Linked DNA regions of Struthio camelus. The protein of the gene in region 2 purifies or fractionates together with the protein of the main gene of each other region. This does not show direct contact. Links are inferred from orthologs where the notes say so. Each region holds a gene or a part of one and is shown on either strand. Other genes may lie near its edges. The genes, in order: TCP11L2, tubulin alpha-1A chain and DNAJB6.

Region 1 (3,743 bases), on a different chromosome or scaffold from region 2:
GACACAAAGCGGCACGGCTCTGCATCTCTTGGAAAAGCACTCCACCTCACGCAGGATGCGCTTTGCGCTCTTGCTTTTATAGCCGAGGCCGTATCGCTAGGACCTACGGTGGACTTGGGCCCTCTGAATACAGCGTCTAGCCCCATATAGTTTTGTCACACGTGCTAGTGATGAAGTAGTTGTTTGCAGGAAGGCGAGGCCTGTGTCTTGGTAAGGACGGAGGCTTGCTTTAGTAAGCCCCTGCCTCGGATGGGCGCCAGCGTTTGCCCTGCGAGGTGGGGCAGCAGTGGCAAACTAGCTCCCGTGACAGGAAGAGATGACGGCCTGACAGGTCCTGCTACCCGCCGTGGGTCTCCGAACCGGCTCCGCGGATGAGGTCAACGCAGCAGTAAGCAAAGCACTTATAATTTATAACAGCGCTGTAGGGCTTCCCGGCGCGTGCCTCAGCGGGCGCTCGCCCGGCCTCGCAATGCCGCAGCCGTGAGCCAGGCGGGAGCGTGACGGCGGACGCAGCCCCGAAGGGCTCCCTTGAGGCCAAGATGGCCGGTGGCGCCTCGACGGGAGGGCAGCGGACAGCGGGGCAGGGAAGCCTCTGGGGGGCACATTCAAAGCTTCCTCGGCAGCGCTATGAACAGAGCGGGGCGAAGGCGCCCGTGGGGCGGCGGTGCCCGGTGCCCGCTCCTGCCCTGCTGAAGGCCGGCAGTTCGCGCCCCACACGGCCCCCGCCGCGAGGGGGCCGCCGCCACCCCTCCCCTCCCCTCCCCTCCCCTCCCCCACCCCGAGGTAGCTCCCTGGGGCGGGGCTTAAGCGCGGAGGCCCCGCCCCCTGGCGAAGGGGCGGGGTCTGGCTGGACCGACGCGGCTCTTCCGTAAACACCGCCCGGCCCTTCCTCTCGCCTCTCCCCCCGCTTCCCGGCAGGGCTCATTCAGCGGGAGGGGGGGGAGGAGGGAGAAGCAGTAGAAGCGTCTTGCCTTGTAAACTCATCTTTTTCCACGCTTAGTGCTCGGCTCCGGACAAAATGAGGACGCAAGAATGATTTGTATGGCGGTAGGGAGAAGGTTAACCCAGGTCCTTCGGGATAACTCGCTACTGGCCATGCAGCAAAGTGCTAAGCACCCCCTGCTCCCGGCAGGAGATGGACGCGCCCAAGGAAGAGACTAATAGTCCGGGCCGGGTATATAACTCGGGGGGGGGGGGGGGGGGTGTTTAAAGCCCCAGCGATCGCCGCTGAGTAGGGTGAGCTGCTGTCGCCGCGGTGAGTGCCCGGGGGGAGCTGGGGCTGGTTAAAGGTGGCCGGGGGGCTCCTACCCTGCCGGGCGGCGAGCACTGGCTGCTCTGCTCTCCCGGCGAGGCCGGAGGCTCCGCAGCTGCCCCGGGGCATCCGCTGCAGCCGGTGGGTCTGGCAGCCCCGGGTGGCCGCCGCGCGCCCCGTGCCCCCTACGCCCAGGGCTGTCTCTCTTCCATCCCCTGATGGCCGCTGTCCGCCGGGGCGGCCCGGCCCGACGAGCAGCACCGGCTGCCGTCCTTGCAGCCCCGCTCCGGCCGCGCAAGGGCACCCCGGGGCTGCGTCCCCGCCGCGGCTGCCCCGCACGGCCAGGGTGCCCGGCGCCCCTCTCCCACCCCGCGGGGCCGCGCCTGGCAGCCGCTGTCACCTTCCCCGGGGCTGGCGGAGAGGGTGCCCCCTTCTCCTCTCCTCCCTTCCTTCCCCCCCGCCCCGGGCCTGTCCTTGGAAACGCTGTTTGTTTTGGTCGGCGAGTGCCAAACTCCTGCCTCTGCTAACTTAAAAAACATGGGGCTGGGGGAGGAGACACGGGGCTAAACAGATGGAGGAAGAGGAGGAGCCCGCGGCGCTTCCTCCTCCTTCTCCCCCCCCCCCCCCCGCACCGCGCCGGGGAGAGGGGGGACAACATGGCGGGGGGGGAGCACAACATGGCGGGGGGGAAGGGTCACCCCGGGCCGCCGCCGAGGGGCGGTTTTGCCCCTCGCCCCGGCCCTGAGGAAAGCGCGTTACGTTGCAGGAGGGTGTGAAGCAGCGCGGCTGTCAGAAAAGTCTGTCAGAAACGGGCTGTCAAAATTGGGAAGGGGAGAAGGGAGGGCCGAGGAGGTTCTGTAGCTCTTAACAAAGGCTCTTTTCTCCTCCTGGGCCGTGGGACCGCGGACCAAGTGCTGGCAAAGGCCGAGTCCGGAAGGGAAACTCTAGCCCAAAGGAGATGCAGTAGATGCCAGCTCTGGAGGGCATAAGCCCAGTGGGATAAACACAACTCAGTTCATAGTGGTAAAACAGGACAGAGTGCTTGAAGCGTGCGCAGAAGCAGGGCTGTGGGAAAAAAAAAAAACTTGAAGATATCTGAAAAGAAACAAAACCTGCTGCTGCTTCTTTCCCGGTGCTCCATAAAATAACTATTAAATGCTTAGGAGTAAAAGTGTGTGTGTGTGAGAGGGGGAGAGATGTTGTGGACCAGGTAATACCAAAGGGGTAAAGACGTGTGTTGTTGAGTGTGACTGGAAGGTGCCCTAAAACTAACCTTCACCTGGTCTTGTGATCTAGTCACCTCTCAGTGAATGCTGAGGTTGGGTGAAGTAATGACTGTGTAAGAGTAGGATGCTGTCAGAAAACTGCTGTGCTGTGCTCCATTGCAGATTTAGTAAAACACATAATCTGAAATTGTGTACAAACAGCAGCAGAATCCATGATAGTTGACTTCTTCCCTTTTAAATTAACTAAGACTTGGTTATGACAGAGAAGAGAAAATGGGCTGATGCCTTGGGCATTTAGAAGTTATTCTAGCTTTGTCGCATACCAAGAGCTTATCCTTGAAATACTGAAATGCAATAGAACTGATTAAAAAAAAAAAGCTTAATGAAATCTACTGCCAACTTATCAAACCTTTATTTTAATTAAAGTAGACATTAGTTACTTTTTAGTACAGGAAAGGTAAAGCAGGTTGTAATCAGAGTCTGACTCTTTAGTAGAATAGGTAGGATATTAAGTTGTCTATTAAAACAACAGCTTAATATATAATTCCTAATGAAGAACTTACAAATAAGATGGTGGTATTGTCTAGTTCAGATGTTGAATTACAAAGTGATCCTAGAAAACTAAAAGGTTTTCTGAAGTATTTTTACTTGGAAATTATATTAATCTAAACTTCAAAATTACACATTAACCTTGCCCTCTCTTAACTTCTGAGGAGGTCTAAACCGTCTACAAAAGCATACGGAAAAGAAGCTGTTCCAGTGTGTGCTATTGAGAAAGCACTAAACAATTCAGTCCTCTATTGTTCTAACTAATTAGAAAAGCCTTCTTCAGTTTGCACTTCACTTCGATATACTCAATTAATGTTTTTCCTTTGTGCTATTTAGCTGTTGGGCAGCGTATTAAAAACACTAGATTGCATATCCAGCTTCTGCTTTGTGTATTCCACTTGTTTCCTTTGATGTGCTTTCTGCCTCCCGTATCTGTTAAACTTGCAATTTAGCAGCGATGTTGTGAATCTGCAGCATACACCCATTTTCTTCCTCGCCATTTTCCTTGGGAAGTCCTATTTGGAAATCCTACTAGGAAATCCATTTATTCTGGCAGGGGTTGCAACTTTTCAGTGTCTCATGTTGCACTGTTGAAACTCGTTAATTAAGTGAAGTCCTCTGAAGTACTGTACTGGTAATACTATATGAACAGCTGTGATCTCAGTACATCAAAACAGGTTATGCGTCTCTCTGAAATGCAGGTATTTGTTGCTGAA
Region 2 (3,743 bases):
CAAGGCCAAACCGGGACCGTGGCCCCGGGAGCATCCGGGGGGGTGCACCAGATCGGGGCAGGGGGGCTGCGCAGGGGCTGCAGCAGATGGAGGGGGGAGACGTGGCCCCCCCGTCCCCCCGCTGGCCCCCCGCTGGGTCCCAGGCACCGGCTGCTCCTGGAAGCAGCTGCCGCTGGGGCTGGGAACCCCCCGGCCGCAGCCAGCCCATCTGCAGGGCGCTGCCCAAACCCCCCGGGAGCCGCTCCAGGAGCGGCCGCGGGGCTCTCCGGTGGGGCCCAAGGGGCTGACTGGGGTGCAGAGAGGGCTGGCAAGGGAACAGGGCCACGGCGCGGCTCTCACCAGGAGCAGGGCACGGCGGGAACGGGCAGCAGGATGGGGCTGGGGACCAGGGCACCGGGGCACGGCCAGGAACAGGGGCACGGCCAGGAACGGGGACCAGGGCGTGGCCGGGAACGGGGACACGGCCGGGAACGGGGACACGGCGGGGATGGGGACCAGGGCGTGGCCGGGAACGGGGACACGGCCGGGAACGGGGACCGCGGCACGGCGGGGATGGGGACCAGGGTGTGGCCAGGAACGGGGACACAGCGAGGAACGGGGACCGTGGCACGGCGGGGATGGGGACCAGGGTGTGGCCGGGAACGGGGACAGTGCTGGGAACGGGGACCGTGGCACGGCGGGGATGGGGACCAGGGTGTGGCCAGGAACGGGGACACGGCCGGGAACGGGGACCGCGGCACGGCGGGGATGGGGACCAGGGTGTGGCCGGGAACGGGGACAGTGCTGGGAACGGGGACCGCGGCACGGCGGGGATGGGGACCAGGGTGTGGCCGGGAACGGGGACAGTGCTGGGAACGGGGACCGTGGCACGGCGGGGATGGGGACCAGAGCACAGCCGGGAACAGGGACCGCGGCACGGTGGGGATGGGGACCAGGGCGTGGCCGGGTATGGGGACACAGTGAGGAATGGGGACCAGGGCACGGTGGGGATGGGGACCACGGCATGGCCAGGACTGGGGACAGGACTGGTCACGGGGACCGGAGCACCGCTGGGAACCGGGGCACCAGGACACAGCCAGGAACAGGGACCGCGGCACGGTGGGGATGGGGACCAGGGCGTGACCGGGCCCGGGGCTGGGAACCGGGGCTCGGCCGGGAAGGGAGCCCGAGCACGGCCGCATCCCCCCCGGGGCTGGAGAACGACGAGGCGAGGGGGCACAAAGAGCCGAGCCCCCCCCCGCCGCTCCTTTGTCTGGCGGCGCCGGGGGGGCATTACCTCATCGCGGCCCCGCGCCAATGGCCGCCGCCGCCGCCGCCCCGCCCGGCCCCGCCGCCCGCCCTATAAAGCGCCGCGCCGGGGCCGCCCGCCGCCGCGTCTCTTACATCGACCGCCTTGGAGTCGTGCTGTAAGAAAGCCCCGGAGCCGAGCAGCCGCCATGGTGAGCACCGGCCGCGGGGCCCCGGGGGGCGGCGGTGGCGGCGGGGAGCCGCCTCTGCGCCCGCTGCACCGCCCGGCGCCGCGGCGGCGGGGGCCCCGCTCCCCGCCCCCGTTATTGCAGCAGGATGGGAGCCGGTGCGGAGCGCTCAGCTCGGTTCACCGGGCGTGGCTCCCCCGTTAATAGGGCAGGATGGGACCCGTTCCCGGTGCGGAGCGCTCAGCTCGGTTCACCGGGCGTGGCTCCCCCGTTAATAGGGCAGGATGGGACCCGTTCCCGGTGCGGAGCGCTCAGCTCGGTTCACCGGGTGTGGTTCCCCCGTTAATAGGGCAGGATGGGACCCGTTCCCGGTGCGGAGCGCTCAGCTCGGTTCACCGGGCGTGGCTCCCCCGTTAATAGGGCAGGATGGGACCCGTTCCCGGTGCGGAGCGCTCAGCTCGGTTCACCGGGCGTGGCTCCCCCGTTAATAGGGCAGGATGGGACCCGTTCCCGGTGCGGAGTGCTCAGCTCGGTTCACTGGGTGTGGCTCCCCCGTTAATGCAGCAGGATGGGACCCGTTCCCGGTGCGGAGTGCTCAGCTCGGTTCACTGGGTGTGGCTCCCCCGTTAATGCAGCAGGATGGGACCCGTTCCCGGTGTGGAGTGCTCAGCTCGGTTCACTGGGTGTGGCTCCCCCGTTAATGCAGCAGGATGGGACCCGTTCCCGGTGTGGAGTGCTCAGCTCGGTTCACTGGGTGTGGCTCCCCCGTTAATGCAGCAGGATGGGACCCGTTCCCGGTGCGGAGTGCTCAGCTCGGTTCACTGGGTGTGGCTCCCCCATTAATAGGGCAGGATGGGACCCGGTGTGGGAGTGCTCAGCTCAATTAACTGGGTGTGGCTCCCCTGTTAACGGAGCAGGATGGATCCCGTTCCTGGTGTGGAGTGCTCAGTCTGCACTGGGTGTGGCCCCCCTGTTTAATGGGGTGTTCAGGGTGGGATAAGCCTCTCCTGGTGCTGAGCACCCTGATCTTGCCCTGGGCACAGCACCAAAAGTGGGCAGGGCTGGATGAGCCCCTGGTGCTGAGTGCCCCACAGTGGGTGTGGCCCTGGTTCTCAGGGGTCCCTGTGGGGTCTGTGGGGAGGACAGGGTGGGATGAGACCCCTGTGCTGAGCCTGCAACCCACACTGCGCATTGCACCAGAGTGTGGGTGGGCAGAATAAGCGCCCTGGTGCTGAGCCCTCAACATATACTAGGGATGGCAGTGGTCCAATTGTGTGGGTGAGGCAGGATGAGACCCTCTGGTCTTCATGTTGCATGGGGTGTGGCCCCTGTTCAGTGGGGCAGGATGGGTCCCTGGTGCTGAGCACTGCCACACCGCACTGGGTGTGGCTCTGGTTCCCAAACAGCAGGGCTGGATATGGCCACGGGTGCAGAGCCCCTCCCCTCCCCGCAGTGCCCAGCACCCACAGAACAATAGAGCGGGTGCAGGGGCTGGCCCCATCCAGCCCAAGGCACAGGGCAGCGTTGTGGGGGGCAGAGCCGGCGCTGGCAGGACCTGGGGGGCGCAGAGCCGGGGCGCTGGCTCACGCCCCCCGCTCCCCCCCGCAGCGCGAGTGCATCTCCATCCACGTGGGCCAAGCGGGCGTGCAGATCGGCAATGCCTGCTGGGAGCTGTACTGCCTGGAGCACGGCATCCAGCCCGACGGGCAGATGCCCAGCGACAAGACCATCGGCGGCGGCGACGACTCCTTCAACACCTTCTTCAGCGAGACGGGGGCCGGCAAGCACGTGCCCCGCGCCGTCTTCGTGGACCTGGAGCCGACGGTGATCGGTGAGCGCGGGGCGGGGGGTGCCGGTGCTGGTGGTGGTGCCGCCGGCGGCGCTAACGGGGTGCCTGGCCTCATCCCGCAGACGAAGTGCGCACGGGGACCTACCGGCAGCTCTTCCACCCCGAGCAGCTGATCACGGGCAAGGAGGATGCGGCCAACAACTACGCCCGGGGGCACTACACCATCGGCAAAGAGATCATCGACCTGGTCCTCGACCGCATCCGCAAGCTGGTAGGGGCCGGGGGGCGCTGGTGGGCGGGCGACAAGGACAAAGACTCCTCTTCAGCTCGCCCTCCCTCCTGACCAGCAAGGCTGGATTTAGATTTAATATATTAATTAATGTTAATCCGGCTGCGCCGCCCGGCTTGGCGGGGCGGCTCCCATTGGCCGGCGGCTCCCGGCAGCAGCGTGCGTCGCAGCTGGAGAGCGCTCGGGGCCGCGCCAGCCCCCGGCCCCCCTCGGTGCTGAGCTCTGCAATTCCCTCTTTGTTCCGCCTGAG
Region 3 (3,743 bases), on a different chromosome or scaffold from region 2:
ATCAAGAAATGTTTAAAGAATTAGAGCAAGATTTTATATAATCTTCTCCTGAACTAGAGAGTACTCATCTGCAGTTTGCCCTTGAGCTTGCTAGACCTTGAATCTTCTGAGGTTTGCAACTGCACCTGTTAGAAAGAGCCAGTCTAACCTACTGTTCTTCGTTTTTTGTTTTTCTTTCCAAGTGGGTCAAAAACTTTCTGCACTTCACAGCTAATTGCTGACGGGAAACTTACACTGGTGCTAGGTATGTCTTTGATGTAAATTAAGGACTTGTTTTCATGACCCCAGTTTGGCATCAAATCTCACTGCAGCTAAATTTCTTTCGAAGCCAGGGCTATCCTACCAGTTACCTTTCTGATTTTTATTAGGTTTTCCTCTGGCTTATTCCAAGCTTGCTTGTTCCTTCTTGCGTTGGTACATCTTACTCCGACATAAGCATTTTCATCTCCAAATTCCTGAGTAGCCTTTGAATTAACTTCATTTTGGGAGCAGATAGGTTTTACATTTGGAAACTCTCTAATTTCAGTTCACTGATCCATAAAACAATGCCTTTATGCAACTTCTTTTAAATAAAGGGCAAGAAATACAGTTTTGCAGCAATTTAAAGCATGGATAAACTCCATTTTTTTAAAATAGAATTATTACTTGGCAGCTTATGCTATGCTCTCCCTGCTCACGCTTTTCTCACAGCCGTCAGAAAACCACATACTCAAAACATGACCCAAGGGATACTTAAATTTCAGACAGCACAGTGTGAGCCACAAAGGAACCTGTACAGGTGCCAGCTGGAAAACAATTAATGTAGCCTTAAAATAAGCTCAGGGGAAGGGTTACAATTTTTGAGGCTAAAAAAGAGATGGGCATGTAGGGATTTTAATCAGCCTTTTCACTTTTCCGTGCCCTGGGGCAGGGAGGGCCGTTGCAGAGGCTCTTCTGCCCCCGGGGCTCCGGTGAGGGGCCGGCACCCCCGGGCGCGGGCGGCCGTTACAGCCGTTGGTGGGAGGGGGGAGGTTCGAACGCAGCCCCTCCCCACCCCCCCCCCCCGGCGGCGCGCGCGCGCGCGCTGCAGGGCGGCGGGCAGCCAGCAGGGGGCGGGGTCGGCCCGCGCGGCGCCCGGCGGGCGGGCCGGCCGCGGCGAGAGCACGCCTTTCCAGAAACTTCCGGAAACAGCCGGGCGGAAGTGACGGCGTCGCGTTGACGAGACTTCCCGTTTGAGTCCGAGGAGAGGTGCCGCTGCCGCCGCCGCTGCCGTTGCGCCGGGCGGGCGGGGAGGGTGACGGCCGCGCTGCTGAGGCTCCGGGGCCGGTGAGTGCTGGGCGGGCCGCGGAAGGCCGTGGCGGCGGGCAGGGCGGGCCGGCCTCGGCCTCGGCTCTGGGCAGCGGTGTGGGGCCCGGCCCGGCTCGGCCCGGCTCGGCTCGGCCCGGCTGGGCGGCCGCCATGCTGCGGGCTGGCGCGGGGGCGCCGCGCTGGGGAGCCCCTGCGGCGGCTCCTGGGAGGCGGGAGCGAGGGCTGCGTGGGCAGCGGAGCGGGGCGGCGGGGATCCCCGGCCCTCGGGGGCGGGGAGCGGGGGAGCCGCCCCCGCGGGCAGCGGCCTCCTTGGGCTTATCCCGGGAGTCGCGGTGGCGGAGCGGCAGTTCGGGACTGCGCAGCGGAGGATCCCGAGGCGGCTCGGCCTCCTTCTCCTGTTTACGGCAAGCGCAGAAGGGCTAGGGGGAAAAAAATCCGCATTTCTGTTTTTGTTTGCATCGGTTGCCAGTAGCAAAAAGGTGAGGGGGAGTCTCTGTTCACCCATGACTCTTTTGAGTGTGTTGGATCGTCTTTTACTTGAACTTCTTTTATTCGTAGTTTACTTTTTGGTGTGTTTATAAACTGAATGTGCTTTTGCTTTTTTTTTTTTTTTTTGCGATGGAAGCTGTATTCTATTTTGCTGTTATTAACTTACAGAGTAGGCTCAGTATGATGTGCTGTGTTTGAGGGCAGCACATCATTTGAGTGGTGGCCAGAGGTGTCCAAGTTATAAATGGCTTTGTATTTTCAGGACTTAGGAGAGGGCCGTGGGTTGGGAAGTGAAGTTATTTATGACCAGTATTCCTGCTTGTAGTAACACTTTATGCTGTATTACAGTTTAACAGTCAGAGCTTGTGCTGGTTGATGAAATGCGCCACAGACTTGAGCGTTAGAAGAGACTGAAAACATTGAGCAAATCTATCATGAATTCTGATAATGAGATAATGCTTGGTTGATTTCATTTTGGCCAGGATAACATTATAGAAGCTGAATTTGCAGCGATGCTAATGTGCAAATGGTCAAACTTGCAACATTGCATAGTCAATCAGTTGTCAAGTGCTTTTTTTTTTTTTAATATGATGTAAAGCATCAAAGAGTGATAAGAACAAGGTGTTGACATAGTGTGACTAGCTGGAATGAAACTGGGTTCAAACTCTTGGTCCTCTGAGATTGCAGTTACTGCTGCTTGCTGGACTTAAGTTTTGTTTACACTTTGGGGAGCTCCTTGTTTTCCAGTCAGGAAGGATTATATGTTCAGTTGATGAATCAAGAGCCCAGTGGTTAAAGTACAATTTAGTTTGCTGGATTATGTTGTCAGAGAAGATTTGTTTGGACCAGTGAGTAAATGCTTTCATAAATTTTGTTCCTATGTTTACTTTTTTGTGTAGTTTGTTTCTTTTGCTTTTCTTTCTGGAGTCCTACAACTGACTGAAATGCCACACCACTTGTGTTAGCCATTCTGCTCTTGTGCTGCAGGCTGTAGAGAAGTAGTGCATCTTGACTGAGTCAATGTATTGGACTTTCAGGTTTCAGCAAACAGTCTGTTTTTACTGTATGTAGTGATGATTTTGATAGAAAATGTGAAGTCCAGCCTTGATTTTAGAAAATGTGAAGTCCAGCCTTGATTTTAGAAAATGTGAAGTCCAGCCTTGATTTTAGAAAATGTGAAGTCCAGCCTTGATTTTAGAAAATGTGAAGTCCAGCCTTGATTTTAGAAAATGTGAAGTCCAGCCTTGATTTTAGAAAATGTGAAGTCCAGCCTTGATTTTAGAAAATGTGAAGTCCAGCCTTGATTTTAGAAAATGTGAAGTCCAGCCTTGATTTTAGAAAATGTGAAGTCCAGCCTTGATTTTAGAAAATGTGAAGTCCAGCCTTGATTTTAGAAAATGTGAAGTCCAGCCTTGATTTTAGAAAATGTGAAGTCCAGCCTTGATTTTAGAAAATGTGAAGTCCAGCCTTGATTTTAGAAAATGTGAAGTCCAGCCTTGATTTTAGAAAATGTGAAGTCCAGCCTTGATTTTAGAAAATGTGAAGTCCAGCCTTGATTTTAGAAAATGTGAAGTCCAGCCTTGATTTTAGAAAATGTGAAGTCCAGCCTTGATTTTAGAAAATGTGAAGTCCAGCCTTGATTTTAGAAAATGTGAAGTCCAGCCTTGATTTTAGAAAATGTGAAGTCCAGCCTTGATTTTGAACGTAGAGTTGTGCAGTGTTTAGTATTCCAGTATTTTTCTCCTTACGTAGTAAATGATGCATTTCTTCAGTAGCATTTATGAAGAACCTAATCAGCAGTATCCTGAACTCATTTTCTGCTAACGGAAAATGATTTTTTTTTTTTTAAATCTATAAAGTAACTTGATTTATTCAAGGAATGGAAGGATTAGTGAAAACTTATCTAGCTCTGTTAAAGCTTAGTGGATCTTATGTATGATGATTGTGTATTTCAAGATAAATTTAAA

What was found.
Region 1: the proteins of tubulin alpha-1A chain (region 2) and TCP11L2 purify together in Homo sapiens (affinity purification with mass spectrometry; 3 studies listed by BioGRID and IntAct, counting the BioPlex papers as one, with this or other methods). This does not show direct contact. The link is inferred for Struthio camelus from reciprocal best matches to the Homo sapiens genes TUBA1A and TCP11L2.
Region 3: the proteins of tubulin alpha-1A chain (region 2) and DNAJB6 purify together in Homo sapiens (pull-down; 3 studies listed by BioGRID and IntAct, with this or other methods). This does not show direct contact. The link is inferred for Struthio camelus from reciprocal best matches to the Homo sapiens genes TUBA1A and DNAJB6.

The regions. Positions count from the first base shown.
Region 1 is NC_090942.1:61,813,855-61,817,597, reverse strand, and holds the start of TCP11L2 (T-complex protein 11-like protein 2), read left to right. Parts: upstream 1-923; 5' UTR 924-1,255; intron 1,256-3,743. UniProt on the Homo sapiens protein: Promotes the migration of muscle-derived satellite cells (MDSCs) during differentiation throught interaction with FMNL2 and therefore may participate in microfilament assembly.
Region 2 is NC_090969.1:909,276-913,018, forward strand, and holds the start of tubulin alpha-1A chain, read left to right. Parts: upstream 1-1,113; 5' UTR 1,114-1,436; coding exon 1,437-1,439; intron 1,440-3,023; coding exon 3,024-3,246; intron 3,247-3,326; coding exon 3,327-3,475; intron 3,476-3,743. UniProt on the Homo sapiens protein: Tubulin is the major constituent of microtubules, a cylinder consisting of laterally associated linear protofilaments composed of alpha- and beta-tubulin heterodimers.
Region 3 is NC_090943.1:10,887,281-10,891,023, forward strand, and holds the start of DNAJB6 (dnaJ homolog subfamily B member 6), read left to right. Parts: upstream 1-1,162; 5' UTR 1,163-1,305; intron 1,306-3,743. UniProt on the Homo sapiens protein: Has a stimulatory effect on the ATPase activity of HSP70 in a dose-dependent and time-dependent manner and hence acts as a co-chaperone of HSP70. Plays an indispensable role in the organization of KRT8/KRT18 filaments.